Canis lupus familiaris: one gene and its partner. The protein of the gene in region 1 interacts with the protein of each later gene in a pairwise test. Links are inferred from orthologs where the notes say so. Each region holds a gene or a part of one and is shown on either strand. Other genes may lie near its edges.

Region 1 (8,480 bases):
TTTTCACCTGAAGTAGAAATGGGATGCAAAAAAGAGAGAATGATAAGATTTTATTAAATACAAAACACTTAAACTGAGGGGGAAATACTTTGGAACTGAAAAAGAAAACCCAAAACTTATCAACATACACATAAGTAGTACAGAGTGACCTTAAAGTAACTTACAAAGCTAGACTGACTTTCTTAGTGTGAGTATATTTAACTTTAATAAACTACACTTTGTAGTTTTAAAAAGTACATCATTGTTAACAGTGAGTTATCTACCAGTGATGGCTTCTAGGTAACACTGATCTTCTTTACATTACTTTCAATTTTCCACAATAAAAACATGAATTTTATAAATAGAAAATCCATTATATTAAAACACACATTACCTTGTCATGTGGCTCAGTACAGAGAAATATTGTGGGTACAGCATTCTCTTTCAGCAACTTGTTGTTGCACTCCCTCTTAAAGCAGTCCGGAGTAAAGTGCTCCGAACAAATACTGCTATATTTGGTGGGTTTAAAGTTTTTCCTTCGGACAGCTGCCTCCCATTTTTTGCAAAGACTGGGTCGAGTAAGAGGGAACCTAAGAAGAAGAGATAATTCAGTTCTCTGACCTTATTTTAAAAGAAAAAAAAAAAAAGCACATCTAAACTTTCATGTTTAGGAAAGAACCATTTTATATTGTTGTTTACAAGCTAAGGGACATTTGATTAAAACACTAGCTCTGCAATTTTTTTTTTTTTGGACGGTTTTTAGTTGTGCCTTTATTCACCTGAGTTAAGAATGTTTTAAAGATCCTATAAATAAAATGACCAACTACTAGGGTGTGATAATAAGTCAACCCTCTCAGCATGGAATTTTTTTTTTAAGCCGTATTTGTGGGTGTTCTCTGTGATGCATCACTGAATTCTACTTCTGAAACCAATATTGCACTGTATGTTAACTAACTAGAATTTAAATTAAAATTTTTTTAAAAAATAAAAAGCAGTATTTGTTATAGGAATCTTTTGATCACAGGGTGGTTACGAGAATGTCAGAAACAATGATGCAAACAATATAAATAAGACAGGCTGGGGATCCCTGGGTGGCGCAGCGGTTTGGCGCCTGCCTTTGGCCCAGGGCACGATCCTGGAGACCCAGGATCGAATCCCACATCAGGCTCCCAGTGCATGGAGCCTGCTTCTCCCTCTGCCTATGTCTCTGCCTCTCTCTCTCTCTCTCTCTCTCTGTGACTATCATAAATAAATAAAAATTTAAAAAAAAAAAAAAAAAAAAAAAAAAAAAAAAAAAAAAAAAAAAGACAGGCTGATTAAAAATTTACAAAATGTAAAAACATACATATTGAAGGTCAGCCATGCAGACAGATGCATGCAATGGGAAGAGGAGATGATGGGAAGCTGGAAGTGGAAGTCAAGGGACATGTGCAGTACTATCACTGGTCTCCCTCCATTACTTTCAAATAAATGAATAACTTATTTTCACTAACTTTCACTAAGTGATACAGGTATTGCACACACATCTAAATACACAAGGGTAGGGCAGCCCGGGTGGCTCAGTGGTTTAGCGCCGCCTTCTGCCCAGGGCCTGATCCTGGAGACTCAGGATTGAGTCCCACGTCAGGCTCCCTGCATGGAGCCTGCTTCTCCCTCTGCCTGTGTCTCTGCCTCTCTCTCTCCTCTCTGTGTATTCTCAGACATAAATAAATAAAATCTTTTTTAAAAAATAAATATACAAGGGTAATCATATAGCTTCTCTGTCTCATTTATTAATGTTTAACTTTTTATGTCAAAGATACTAAGAGTTTCAAGTAAAATATATACTATAGGGTAAATCTGTACTGATTTTTTTTAATCAATGAAAATAAAATTATATGTTTATATCTACATACTGCAGAAAAAGAAGGTTCTAGTTCTCTTAGGATCAATTTGACAAATATGAATTAATCGAATTATAGTCAAATCATAATGATAAATTTAAATTTTCATGTATTCATTTATTTATATATGTTTGGAATTGAAAGGGGGTGGTTGATTAGTTTCATGAACTTGGATGCCCAAGTCTCTCCTCAGGTTTGGGAAGTTCTTATTTGTTTTTTAATTTTTAAGTTTTTATTTACTGGGGCACCTGGGTGGCTCAGTGGTTGAGCATCTATCTGCCTTCAGCTCAGGTTGTGATCCTGGGGTCCTTGGGATCTAGTCCTGCATTGGGCTCCCTGCAGGGAGCCCCCTTACCCCTCTGCCTATAGGTCTCTGCCTTTCGTGAATAGATAAATTAAAATTTTTTAAATTTATTTTTTAAAAAGATTTTAATTTACTTATTCACAAGAGACACAGAGGCAGAGACACAGGCAGAGCGAGAAGCAGGCTCCATGTGGGGAGCCCAACGTGGGACTCGATCCCAGGTCTCCAAATCACGTCCCAGACTGAAGGCGGCACTAAACCACTGAGCCACCGGGGCTGCCCAATTTTTTTAATTTAAAAAAATAAAAGTTTTAATTTATTTTAGTCTTCTGATTTGTTTTTAATTCCAGCATAAGAATATTATTGATCTTATTTTACCTCGAAATCAACTGGAATATGTCCATCTGGCCCAGAAAAGTGGGCTTAGAAAGGGTTTATATTTACTGTGATTTTACTTTTCCAAGTCAAGTATCTAGTGAAATGGGGAAACTGGAAAGCCAAAGGATGCTTCAACTCCATGTTCTAGCTTCTCTTCTACATAAGGTATGCCAGAGCTGGACTCTGCTATCATGAAGAACTAACCAATCTTTGGGACAGTTCTTTTCTTTGCCCAGAACAGCTGCTGCCACTGGGCCACCATGTAGAAAGTGGTAGAAGATCTCTGCTGGAAATGGCCTCCAGAAATACAACAGATGGTAGCCATCACCAGTAAAATTCAGCCCCTTGGGCCTCCTGTCTTACACACTACAATGATCAGGCTGTTCATGATGGAGTTCTGTGAGAATAATTCCCATCTATTTCCAAAAAATTGTTCTTTATAGGTAAGAAGGAGAGGCAGATCAGCTCCTCCTTTGACCCAATCATTTGACAGCCAGCAGAAACTATTTCTGATGTGTGAACGCCATCCTTAGTTTCTAGTACCAATGAAGGGTTTTCCACATTTTTAGATTCTTTGATTAGAAACGGGGTTGTGCAGAGCTGGCTGTAACATAACAGTGTCACCGTCTTCTGATCTATTCCTACACTTTCAAAGAACTGGAAGTCAATTCATCAGCTTTCAGAAATTCCAACAAATAAAGAAGTGATCTCAGGATATACTGAAGTAGATCCTGGAGTGTTAGGTGCTCTCAGTCGTCCTGCAGGTGGAGGGCAGGATGGGGATGGTGGTGGTGGTCCATCAATCAACACTCAGATCTGCGTGGTAAGGCACTCATTTCCCTGGGTCCCTCTTCTACTAAGCATAAAATGCACCCACATCCCCTGTTACACACGACCCCACCAAAAAAACTGACGGAATACTTAAATTTTGCTTTTGTAATGATTTACTTACGTATAATTGCTATAATTTGCCATCGGTTTGGTAATAATAATGTAAATAATCATATTTATAATAACGTAAAGTCTGTAAACACTTTATTTGGCGGAATGAAAATGCCATCGAGTCCCACTTTGCAGACATCCGATGATCACGAGGTCGTTTCTCCCACAGGCCTCTCTAGCCGCCAAAGCCATCACGGCCCCGGGACCTGTGGGCTTCCTCGGGGGCGAGCCAGCTGTGCGGACCTGGGACCCCATCGCTGCGCGCCAACTGAGGTCCTGGCCGTCCCAGAGGCTCCCTCCAACAGCCAGAGGTGCCCCGAGGTGGGCCCCTAGGCACTGAGTGCACACGTCCTCCCCGAAAGCCTGAGCTGCTGTGAAGCTGGCCTCCCAGGCACGCCAAGGCTGGGAAAAGAGCGGCTCCGTCACGTTCACAGCCTCTGTCTCGGCTCCGTACTGACTCAGGAGGCGCTACTACGCCCTCGCTGCCCTCTTACCCCGAGCAGAGGCTCGCGCGGCGCCCACGGACGCCGCTCCTGGGGCGCCGACACGTCCACGGCAGGCGGCGGACGAACCCCGAGCGTGGATTCCGACTCTCGAGCGCAAGAAACGGCCATGGCAGCCACGCGCAGCCGGAGGCGGCAGCACGAGAGCTCCGACCCAGGCGGGTACACCCGCCGCCCGGCGGACGGGGGACGGGGGACGGGGGACTAGGGACCGCGAGGAGGACCGGCCTGCCCCGGCCCCTCGTCGAGGCTCGCGCGCACACCCGCTGGCCCCGCCCCGCCCCGCCCCGCCCCGCCCCGCCCCGCCCCACTTATCAGGGCTCGCGCGCACACGCGCTGGCCCCGCCCCTGCCCCACCCCGCCCCTCATCCGGGCTCGCGCGCACGCAAGCTGGCCCCGCCCCCGAGCCTAACCGGCCGCTCGCCCCCAGCCCGAGCTGGGCCAGCCCCGCGAGACGCGCGGGGTACTTACTTGTGGAAAGAAACGGGCTTATCCTTATCGTACCGGTTCTTGCAGCCGTAGGCGGAACAGGACTGCACCATCCTTCCGGCCTCCACTCACTTCACTTCTGCCGCTCCCGCAAGCAGGAGAAGCGGCTATCGATGCCGCTGCGCTGCGCTTTGACACCCTCACTCCTTCTGTAGCTTTGGTCAACAGTTTCTGTGATGATAAGCTCCCCCGCATTGACTACTGTGCCCGTTTTGTTGTTTGCATTAGCAGAAGGACCACAGCCATCGCCCGTCTCCCATCTCCAAGATGGCGGAGGCAGCTTCAACCTCACCTCTCGCGAGGAGTTTGTCCCACTGTCTGATGAGCCCCGAGGTCAGAGGTAACGTTCCTTGGGAAGCAGGCCATTGGCTAAGGCCAGGCGTTGCGGTAGTGGGTGGGGCCTCCGAGCTTCCGGAAGAGGGAGAGGAAGTGTTTTGGGAGTAGCGGAGAGGCGAGGGGAGGGGACGGAACCGTGAGCGCGGGGCTAGACTCCGCCACCTGCTTGGCCCCGTGTGTTAGTTTATCTGGGACGATGCGGGGTGGAGAGCAGCGGGGTCTTTGGGTGTGGTGGCGTAGAGGAGGGCAGGTATGAGGGTGAGGCCTTTGGGTAGCTCTTCCCGTTTCTCTCAAAGGGCAGCCACAGATGGAATATGATCTGTGAAACTCTGTGGACCCTTGCCCACATCGCCAGGCTTCATCCCATTCATTACCTGCCCTGCAGGTGTCACAAGGCTCTGAGGGCGCAGGCGCCTGAACTGTGGCAGTGCGAGCGGACACTCGCTCCCGCCGGAGGGCGTAGCGGTAGTGCCCCGCAGGTGCCGGGTGGGATCGCGAGCTGCGCGGGTGGGTCCGTCCGCTTGCCTCCGGCGGCGTGCCCTCCCGTCTGCAGGTCGGGGCCTGCGAGTCTGCAGCGCAGGCTGGTGACGAATTCCACGGCTCTATTGTACTCTTTCTGCCTACCCCCGCCTCAGTCCTCGTGGTTCCCCAGGGTTCCATCCTCCGCCCTCCTCCTCCTTAACACCCTGCTGCTTGAGTTCAATAAAACGCTCTGATTTCCTAATGGTCTTCTATTTCTTATGTAAATTTTTCTGCCTTCGATTATCCTCTGTGAATTATGTGTTCAGTTGCTTAAACCGGAAACCTTAGATTTCTTTCCCACTCTCTACATCTGTTTGATGACCAGGATAAGTTTATAAAGTAAGTAAATACTTGTTAAATCCATCCCTCCTCTCCTCGTTGTTCTTGATCAGGCCCTCTCGCGTTCTCTTAACCATGCAACAGCCTCTGACTGTCCGAGGTCTCGTTTTGCCTCTCCAGTCTATCCTCCACAGAAGGTAATTGTCATACACCTGTTCACATCTTCAAAAGCTGCCTCTACTCGATAGTGTCATAAAGCCCTTGAGGACCGGCTACTTCTACCTTTTCACTGTATTCTCCATCCACTTGTCTTTAACTCTTTCCTACCATCATGTTTCACACAGGGCAGGCATTCTCCTGGCTTCCATAAATAGCCTGTTTGCCCTTAGGCTGAAATGCCTCTCACTGACCTGTCCACCTTCAAGATGTGGCTCAGGTGTTATGTTTTCTAACATGCTTTCTCTATCCTCTTTTTCTTAAGCCTCTCAACTTAGGCACCTCTCTTGTTCCAACGAAAACTTTGCGTTTAACCTCTCTGTATATGAACCATACGTTACTGTATGGTTGTCCCACTTCATGGACTGAGGCCCTGTTGAGGAGGACTTTGTCTTAGCCTTGTAACCCCAGCAGCTTGCAGTGTCTGGCATTAAGTATCTAGAAAATGTTTGTTAAATCAACTGGGCCCAGAAAACTTGAGGAATTTCAGAGCCATATCCTTTCACCAAATACTAAAATAATAGTTTATTAGCATTTCCAGGGATAGACAGAAATTTCTTCTGTGGTTTACTGTGCATGCAATAAGGATGAGAATGTGATAGGGATGCCTGGATGGCTCAGCAGTTAAGCTCTGCTTTTGTCTCAGGGCATGATCCTGGAGTTCAGAGATCCATCAAGCTTCCTGAGGGGAGCCTGCATCTCTCTCTGCCTATGTCTCTGCCTCTCTCTCTCTCTGCCTCTAATGAACAAATAAAATAAAATCTTTAAAAAAAAGTGTGATAGCTGCTTGTGAACTGAAAAGTATATTTTAACTAAGAGTTCACTGAAATTGACTCATCAGCTGATTCAGCAGATATTTACTCAGCATTTGCTATGTTCTATGCACAGTTCTAGGGACTTGAGATACATAAATGAACAAGACAAAGATTTCTGCCTTCACGGAGGTAATAGTCTAGTGGAGGTTGGAGGGGGCAGACAAAGAACATAAAACCATATGACATGTTAAAAGGTGAAAGGGGCTATGTGGGGGTGAGGAGGTTGCAATTTTAAATACAAAGGATAGGACAGGCTTAGTAGAGACTACTGAGCCAAAATTTGGAATGGGTAAGAGTTAGCTAGAAATATATCTGGGGGAAGAGTCTTACAGGCAGAGGGAATGGCTAAGGTAAAACTCTTGAGGCTCAGTGTCCCCAGCCTGTACAAAGAACAGTAAAGGGGCCCGTGTGACTGGAGCAGAGTGAGCTGGGGGGACAAATAATAAAGTCAGAGGAAACAGGCTGAGGTCATGTAGGGACCTGTAAGCTAGCGTAAGGACTTTGACTTTTACTCTGAGATGGAGAACATGGTTTACGCAGAGAAATGATCCAGTCTTTTAAAACCATCACTTTGCTGTGTTGAGTATAGATAGCAGGGGGTACTTAGAGGCAGAGAGACTGATAGGCAGGCTTCTATGGCAGTGTAGGTGAGAGAGGATGGTGGCTTAACCTGGCTGGGAATAAGGAATAAGAAGTGATCTTGTCTTCTCTCCTTTTCTTCCCTTCCATTTCTTTATTTACATTTATTGAGCAAATGGCAGACATTATGCTAGGTCTGGGAATATACTGGTGAGCAAGATTAACAGTCCCTATCTTCACAGAGCTTATTGTAGTAAGGGGAAGACAGACAATAAGAAGGTGAATAAAATAACATTGTGCTGAGATGCCTGAATACATAGAGGAGGGGTCACTAGCTGGGGTAGGTGGATCATCTGAGAAGGGAATATTTCGCTGAGAAAGAATGGAAAAAGATCTAACACTGAAGAATGAAAACGGGGAGGCTGGGAAGAGCATTCTCCATACAGGGAGTGTGTACTGAGGACCCGTGGCAGCAGCGAGTTTAGTTATTTTCTGGGAACTGAAGGAGGCTGCGGCATGAGTCCAGGAGCCAGGGGAATCAGGGCATGAAGTGAGGTTGACATACGTTTAGATTTTAAGTGCAGTAGGAAGCCAATGAACCTTTTTAGGCAGGGAGAGACATGACATTTTTAAATGTCATTCTATTAGATGAAGAGCTTTTCAGAGGGGCAACAGTGCAAGTGAGCAGCAGACCAGTAAGAGGCCATGGCAGGCTAGTAACACAGCTTGGTGACTTGGACTAAGGTAGTGGTAGTGGAGATGGAATGACCAGGATTTGAGAACATGTTGGATGTAGAAATGTCAAGGCTTTGTGCTAATATGAGAATGCAGAAGAGAGAGGAATCAAGGTATTACATTTATGGCTTGAGCATTTAGATGGAGGGATGGCCTTAAAAAAGAAAACAAGTGCTATCCTCTTCTCCCCACAAAATAGAGGACTTGCAGAGTGGGAGCAATTTCTGAAGTGCAGTCATCAGTTCTGGGAGTGTAGGACTGGAGAATGTCAGAAGAAAAAGACCAAAAGTACTCAGAGGTTGGTCATACAGGCTACTAAGGAAGCATGCAAGGATCACCAACCAGTGCAGAGCACTCTTTTGAAGTTTGTAATAATTTTTAATCAGTTTGTTTAGAGTGAAACTAGTCAGTTTAGTTACTTGGTTGGATTTCCTTTAATGAAGTTCTCTTCTTCAGTCCCCCTTTTTGTTTTCTTTCTTCTAGGTATTAATAACTTAGAAGTGAAATCTATATTTTTATT
Region 2 (7,680 bases), on another chromosome or scaffold:
TGCTGTTTCACGAGGACACATGGAACACGGCATGGCTCCATCTGCACAGCACCAACACCTGGCAGGCACTAGGGGGCTGCAAGAGTCCATGGGGGCTGGAGGTGAGGCCGGAAGCAAGGACTACACTGCTGAGGACAGGCTGCCAACCAGAGGATGGACACGGTCCCTGGGCTGGCCTCTAGGTAGTGGGGGCAGTTTGGGCAGGGCAGTAGTCCCTGAGGTGAAAACCAGGGAGTTGGGCAATCCAGAGTGAAGCCCTCCCTTTGCCTTCCATAAGGGGTCTACACAGAGAGTGGCCATAGGCACCGCAAGCCTCCTGGCCCGTCCTTACTGCCAGCTGCCCTAGTCAGGCTCTGTGTCCTGCTGTACAGCCTGGGGTCCACTCTGTAGCTGGCATCTCCCTGGCCTGTCCACCTGCTCCTCTGTCCATCCTGGGCCCAATGGCCTTCTCTGTCTCCAGCACCAACCTAGCTGGGAGGACAGCTCTAACCTTGGCAGAAAGCAATTTGCCCAGGCGTGCAGGCTCACAGAAATGCAGACTGGCTCTCAGAGAGGCACGGATGTTGCATCTGCTCTGATCTCAGAGGACGCTGGTGGCACCCACAGTGCTGAGCCCCTGCACCAGGCAGGCCTCAGAGACTGGACAGACCAGTATGGAGAGAAGTGCTTAGACCTGAAGAGGATCCCCAGAGGGTGACAATGGGCTGGGTGTCCTTAAGCTGCTGGTGTGGTCTCTGCACTTCCCTGTGGGGCACACCCCACACATGACACACAGTCGGGTCACCCCAGCCTCCCCCATGGACATCTGGGCCTAGGACTTCCCCTGGCACCCCTGCTGAGTTTAGGGAGGCCAGGAGGGCTGTGCCAGCATGTGGTCCCAGCAGACACAGATTCCCCAGCTCCCTTCCCCACTTCTTCTGGGAACTGTGGGAGGAGTGTGCCCAGGTGATACCAACACTGGAGAACTAGACACCCAAAGGGGCAATGGTTCCAGCACAGACCCACTGTGCCCAGGAGCCAAGGCTGCAGGGAGACTGAAGGTCCCACACCGCACAGAATTACACATCATTACAGCTAATAATGGGCCAGGGGATGGGAACTCCGACCACAGTCCAGGCCACAGCTCCCTCAGCTCTCTGGCCGGCTGCTCCGGGGGTGGGGGGTGGGGGTGTGTGTGCAGCAGAGAGAAGTCCAAGAGCCTATCTGCAGCCCTCTTCTCAGCAGGCAGGCGGGCTTCCAGAGAGGAATTCCTGCCCCCAGTGCAGCCAGGTCAGGGCCTTCTAGCGTTCTGCAGGCCAGCAGGTGGAGGTTCAAGAGCCAGTGGGCAGCTGTCCTCCTGGGGAGGAGTCCATCTTCCTCACTGAGTCCATCCAGTGACCCTCCAGGGAGGAGCCAAGAGGCGGTAGCCCAGCAGCCCACGGAGTTACCTGGATTTTTGGTTCAACATGGTACAGGATGCCAGTGAAGGGGACTATGAGATGCCACCCCACCCTCATTAGGATGGCCATCATCAGAGCACCTCCCCTTGCTGTGGGGCTGAAATGCTGCAACTGTTGTGTCTGCAGCTCTCCTACACCAGTCACCAGCAAACCCTGCCCCAAGGCTATGCCCAAGACAAAGGAAAACACTTCCACGCAGAATCCTGCACATGGGCATGCACCACAGCAACAGCCACAATAGCCACGATGCATATTTGGCTATAAGGAGAGAGGAAATGCTGGCATGTGCTGTCATGTGGATGAACCTCAAAACACTACACCAGGTGGAAGCAGCAGGCCACAAGAGGCCATGTGGTGAACAAGTCCCAAACTGGCACATCCACAGTGATACAAGGGCTAACACAGTGATACAAGTTTGAGGAGGGCTCGCTTGGAGCTGGGGTAGGGAGCTGCATGAGAGCAGAAGGCTGCTTTCTGCAGTAACAAAGGTGTTCTAACCTGGCTGTGGCAGTGGCTGCATGTAAACTGTTCCCCAAAAACAATGAGGAAAAAGAGAAAGCATGTGTCCATGGCAGGCATTCTCAGGCTGACCTGGTCTCGATTGCTGAGGCTCATGGCCTAAAGAGTGAGTACAGATCGGAGAAAGTACGAACTCACTCTCTGGGGAGGAAAACCAGGAGGGGGGGCCCTGCTGGAACACCTGCCTCTACTTACCTATAAGTTTCTTTGCAAAGAGAAGCCAGTGGTGTTACAGTGGCCTCACTTTTCTTGGAGCTTCTAGAAAGTTTCCTACAAAGCTATTAGCAGTGTAACTGCCAGCCTCTACCTGGTTGTGGTGACAGGGTAAAGCAGGGTCTGCTGGGCACCCCAAGGGCTCCAGTCATGGCTGCAGTGACTGTGCCCTGCTCCCTTTCCTCTGACAGCCCCACTGGAGGTGATGATTCTGTGGTGACACCTGCCAGGACAGGCCTCAGACCACAGGAGCACCACTGGTGGTGGCCCTACTGCCCCCAGGGTCCTAGTGGTTCTGGAGCCAGATGTGACCCAGGTCACCTGAGTCCACAGCCCAAATTCCCTCCCAGGACACCACAGAGTCCCTGGACACTGGCCAGGCCCCACGCGAGGGGGGCGTCTTACCCACGGAGGTAGTCCAGGGCCAGCTGGGCCCCGGAACGCTTGGCTGGTGGGCTCTGGGCTGCTCCTGACTCTCGCAGTCGCTTCTTCTCCTCTTTTCTCCGCTCCTTCTTCTGCTTCCTCTCCAGGACCCTCTTCTCCTCCGGGGTTAGCACTGGCAGCTGGGGGGCCGTCTCCTGCCCAGCCCCCAATACTGCTCCTCCCTAAAAGTCAAGGGAGAACCAGCCTGCAAGGATGTCTCGCAGCATCCTGGAGCCCCGCTCTGAGGAGCTGACCCCTACCAGGTGGGTGGGCTGTCCCACACCCCGTGCTGGGCTCCCCTGGCAAATGGAGACACAGCTGCTCAGAGTCTTGCCCTCCTGGGGACTCAGGTGACCCTCACCCCAGGACGGGTCAAAGTTGAGTGACCTCAGCTGCATTTCCAGACCCTGTGTGCTCAGTGCTGGGGACAAGGATTTCTGGGCCACCTGGAGGGCTCCATCCCATGAGGCTCTGCAGGACACTGCCCTTCGCCTGTCCCCAGCCCATTCCCACTGCTGTCTGCCCCAGGCCACCCCCAGGCCACCGCCCAGCAGGACATGAGGTACAGGCGCAATCAAAGGCACACTGCTCCCGGGGGATGGGGACGGGCAGTCTTCCCGCCACAAGGATCCGCTGAGGCCCTTCTGCTCCAGCAAACCTCTCCCAAGGAGAGCAGGAAGCTGTGCAGCTGGCAGACGCGGCACTAGTGGCCTCTTGCCCTCCCGATCTGGCTGGCTGTGGCTTCTGGACACCATTTTCCCAGACACCAGCCAGGTATAGTCCTGACTATCAAACCAAATGAGACTCAAAACCAGGTGGGGGGTGGTGGTGTGTGACTCCAGCAGCTGCACACCCTTCCCCCTTCCTGGAAAACCTACAACACCAGTGCCAGTGTCACTGTGATTCCAGCCAGGGACCTGGCTACTGCTCCCCAGGCCTCCAGAGGCCTAGCCAGCTGCCCCAGGGGCATCCAGCTTTTGCAGAGCCACGCCCCTCCCTCCGGCTGCTCCCCCACCCCCCAGGCCAGGCAAGTCCCTTCATAAAATGGCAGCGTCCTGACAACCTTTGTGTTCCCACTAAACACTGAATCCTTCCGGAATCTTCTAAAACAAAAGAGCAGCTTTCGTCAGCTCCTCCTCTGCTTCCCTTTAAAACCAGCTGAATTTACCAGCAGTGGGGTTTCAGGGTTACACTAGGGAGTCTCCAGCAGTGCCACACGCAAGCATGGACGCGCGCACACACACACACACACACACACACACACACGTGTGCCAGCGCAGGGCTCTCAGGCCGCCAGGACGGGAGGTGCTTTCAGAGGAGAGTCTCTGGACAACCCCCTTCTTGGGGAGGAGTGGCATCTCCGCAGATACAGCCCCAGGAGCCCAGCGCCCCAGCTGCCTGAGGGGCTTTGGTTTTTAGGTGTTTCCTGAAGTCTAGGGGGCAGCTGTCTGATGAGCATGACGTCTGCAGGGAGTTCCCCTGCCCCAGCTGCCTGCTCAGACCGCCCTGGGCCACGGTGGCCGACTGGGCAGGCAGCACAGCCAGTCTGGCACCGAGAACAGCAAACAGCCGCAGGCCAGCCTCTGCCTCCCTGAAGCCAGGCAGGCAATAGGGCAGCAGCCTTTCAGGGCCAAAGTCTCAGTGAAAGGTCAGGGCTGTAGCAGCGGGGGCCGAGGGCACATCAACACTGACCCTGAGGGCCTGGGCAGGGGCAGGGAGGGTAGGAAGCAGCTGCCCCCTTGCCCAGAGTGCTGAGTACAAACCCTGCATCTGTCATGGTGCTGGCTGTCACCAGGGCCTGGCCTCTGCCTCCTGCTCTGACCCAGTGGGGTAAGGATGCTCCCACCGAGGTTGGAGGGGCCTACCCCACAGGAGATGGAGCCCTGTCTGCTTCCTGAGGGCCCAGGGGTGGCCTGCGGAGTGTGTGCAGTCCCCACAGAGGGGCCACCAGGCTGGTGGCCAGGACTTGAATGCGGTGTGGCCTGTGAGGTCTGGCTTCTTCTTCTACAACACCCAGCATTAAGGACATGTGAACTTGGAAAGGACACAGATAGCTTCTTTCTCTCTCTGGCTAACGGTCACCCTGGCGTGGTGGTAGTTGGAGCCCATGCTCTGCGTCCTCAGGAGCTAAATGTGCCTCCAGAGTTGTTCAGAGGGCCGTGATGCCCACCCTTGACTGTGCCAGGGGTCAGCCAGGGACGCTGAGGGGGTCCAGCTGGATGCCCACACCCTGGCCACAGCCCAGGCTGAGAGGCCTCTCCAGAGAAGCTGGAAACAGAATCACACAGGGTGAAGCCTCCTGAATTTTAAGGGCTGGCAGCTTAAACAATGCACAGTATGACAGCAAAACAAACCATACTGTGTGAAGCAGACGAGGAAGCCAGCACCTCTGACCCAAGCCCTCTGACCCCTAACACCAAGACAGACTCTCCACCTGGACCAGCCTTCCTTTCCCTAAACACTGGCCCTTTCTGATTCTCTTCAGAGGGTAGGGGCCACCAAGGAAAGTAACCAGAGCCACTCTCCCACCAATACTGCCAAGGAGGGGGACAGGGTGACAGACCATTGCCTCTCCTCCAGCTGTGGTCCTTCACCGGGAGGTGAGCACATGAATCCAAGCAATGATTTGTGAAAAACACAAAGGTCCTTGGCATTGCTTGAAGATAAAGAGGTGGGTGCAGGTATGCAGGGCTGTGACCTGGCCCACACAGCAGGGACAGGCCAAGTGAGGGCTGCAGGGTAACTGGGCTGGCCATGGTGCCCACTGCTGCGTGGACCTCACCTGGTCTCCTTGCTCTGGGTGCCCTGACCTTTCTGGCCTGGACCAGGTGACACCCCCATTGCTGCTACCATCACACGAGTGACGTCAGCTATTCTGGAGTGGTGCCCTGTGTGGACATTAGGCTGGCAGGGCCAGAGTGCTGTGTCAGCCATGGTGGAGCCTGCATGGGACCAGGGGGTAGGGGCTGGGATGGGAGACAGCAGGACAGGCACTGGCTGGACCCAGGGACCTCCCAGCACGTCAGGGTGAGGGCCATGGGGACCTACCCGGGACCCCCCTGCTTCCCTCATCCTGCAGCATCGCCTGTGCAGGGGGGTTCTCAAGCACGGCAGCTGCCAGGGGCCGCCTGCGAGCTTTTAGTGATACCACCATCTCTGGAGGCAAGGCTTATTAATACAACTTTCCTTCCAGCTGAGAATGAACTTCTTCCAGTGGCCACTGCTCTGATAACCCTCCACAGAACTCGGTTTTAATTAGCAAACAACAGTTGGGACACACCTGCCACCATCACCCATACCCCCTCAAAGTTACCTCGTTTAAAGGTTGTGAACAGCCCATGTAAACAGAGAAAAATCTTAAAAGGAATGCAGCAGTCAGATCATCGAAGCCTATTGGGGTCCCTTCTGGGAGTGTCATGGGGTGAGAGGGGGAGCACCCCCAGCCCCCTGCAGGCCTGGCCCACTCTCCAGGGGAAGTCTAGGGCGGCAGCAGATCACCAGCTGTGAACACGACCCTTTTCCAAAACACAGACTGGACAACATGGGGGGAATCTGCCACCACCCTGGTCTGCTGCCTGTTTGCTTGTCACAAACACGTGGAACTGACAGTGTGCAGCCTCCATGCAAACACGCATTTCTACAGAGATGGGATGACCGCACAGCAGTGCTGCCATGGTTTCTGGCATTCCACGTTGGACCACATACAGAATCTCCTATTACGGGAAGTCAAACTTTCAGCAACACATTCTCTTACTGTTAGACGTCTCCTGGACTGTGTTTCAAAAGGCACAAAAATAACTCAATGCACATGGAAAACTTCAGGCAGGACAAATGGACCTGCCACTGCCACCAAGGAGGATGATGGGTGGTATGACCGAGGGACCTGGAATTTCTTCTAGGTCATCTCAACATAAATGTTTTCAAGTACAATAGTAAGTAACGTAGTGTTCATGTCATTAAATGCACTAAAAATCAAATCCTTACCGGCTTCTAGGGCAATGAAAACACTGGCTGCATGTATTAAACATACTGGAAATAAACAAACCCAAAAGTCCCAGACTCAAGAGTGAAACTAGGTAAGTAAAAGAAATATGGGGGCACCTCTGATAGAAACGTTGACACTGTTTGAGGAAAGATGAGTACGTTATAAATGATCATTTTTTAAAAGATTTTATTTATTTATTTATGAGAGACAGAGAGGCAGAGACATCGGCAGAGGGAGAAGCAGGCTCCCTGTGGGGAACCCAATGCAGGACTCGATTCCAGGATCCCTGGATCATGACCTGAGCCAAAGGTAGATGCTCAACCACTGAGACATCCAGGTGTCCCATAAGCCACCATTTTCTTTCACCTTGGTAATTCCTGGCACGAGTCAGGGGAGAAATGATATGACTTTGATTTGGAAAGGTTACCACAGACTCCACCCAGCAGAAAAACCTTCCACCGAGAGCTGCAGGATATAGGTAGGATGTAGTGCAGGATGTAGTACAGGATGTAGGAGAACAGGCTCAGCATTTTTTGGATCCAGGAGAGGGGCCTCTCCAGGCACTGGACTTGGTCACAGAGCACAGGCTCCCCTGCAAACACCCCAGGCCCAAACTCAAGAACCCACAGAAGCCAACAGCCACTGTCATTCCCCAATGAGAAGACATTGGCAAAGAGACCAGAGGGATGCAGGCCAAGGTGGCGGCAGGGGATGGGGCAGATGTCCAGTGGGACTTTTCTCTCCCTCTCAAATATCCGACTTCACAAAGGGAGGGACACTTGAACTGTTGGGTTGGGTCAGCCTCCCCTCACCCTGGTCTTTCCTTTGGGGAGCAGCAGCTATGAACACATACCCCTGGGGGGCTGCTGTGGCCAACACTGGCCACTGGGGGACAGGGACACCTGGCCCCACACTTTTAGCTTGTTTCTGGTAGGCACTGGGGCCAGGCCTGTTGGGTGGGAGGGTTAGGGGTGTGCTGAGGCTCACCCCACAGCTCCTGGCGCTCCTGCCCCCACAGCTGCATCTCCAAATCAGGTTCCTGTGCCTCATCTGTCGGTCACTCTGCTTCTGGGGGGACCCAGTCTAAGGCTGAAGAGAGAG

What was found. The genes of interacting proteins can lie anywhere in the genome.
Region 2: the proteins of THAP1 (region 1) and C6H7orf50 interact in binary tests that used the Homo sapiens proteins (3 or more experiments, as listed by UniProt). The two-hybrid records come from large-scale screens. The link is inferred for Canis lupus familiaris from reciprocal best matches to the Homo sapiens genes THAP1 and CHLSN.

What each region holds. Positions count from the first base shown.
Region 1 is NC_049237.1:23,672,170-23,680,649, reverse strand, and holds the start of THAP1 (THAP domain-containing protein 1), read right to left. Parts: upstream 5,208-8,480; 5' UTR 4,532-5,207; coding exon 4,461-4,531; exon of another isoform or gene 4,376-4,460; intron 4,237-4,375; exon of another isoform or gene 3,981-4,236; intron 3,975-3,980; exon of another isoform or gene 3,550-3,974; coding exon of another isoform or gene 3,497-3,549; intron 570-3,496; coding exon 374-569; intron 1-373. UniProt on the Homo sapiens protein: DNA-binding transcription regulator that regulates endothelial cell proliferation and G1/S cell-cycle progression.
Region 2 is NC_049227.1:16,009,241-16,016,920, reverse strand, and holds part of C6H7orf50 (uncharacterized protein C7orf50 homolog), read right to left. Parts: intron 2,777-7,680; coding exon 2,577-2,776; intron 1-2,576. UniProt on the Homo sapiens protein: Hormone secreted from the intestine in response to cholesterol, where it acts to inhibit cholesterol synthesis in the liver and VLDL secretion,leading to a reduction in circulating cholesterol levels. Acts through binding to its receptor, GPR146.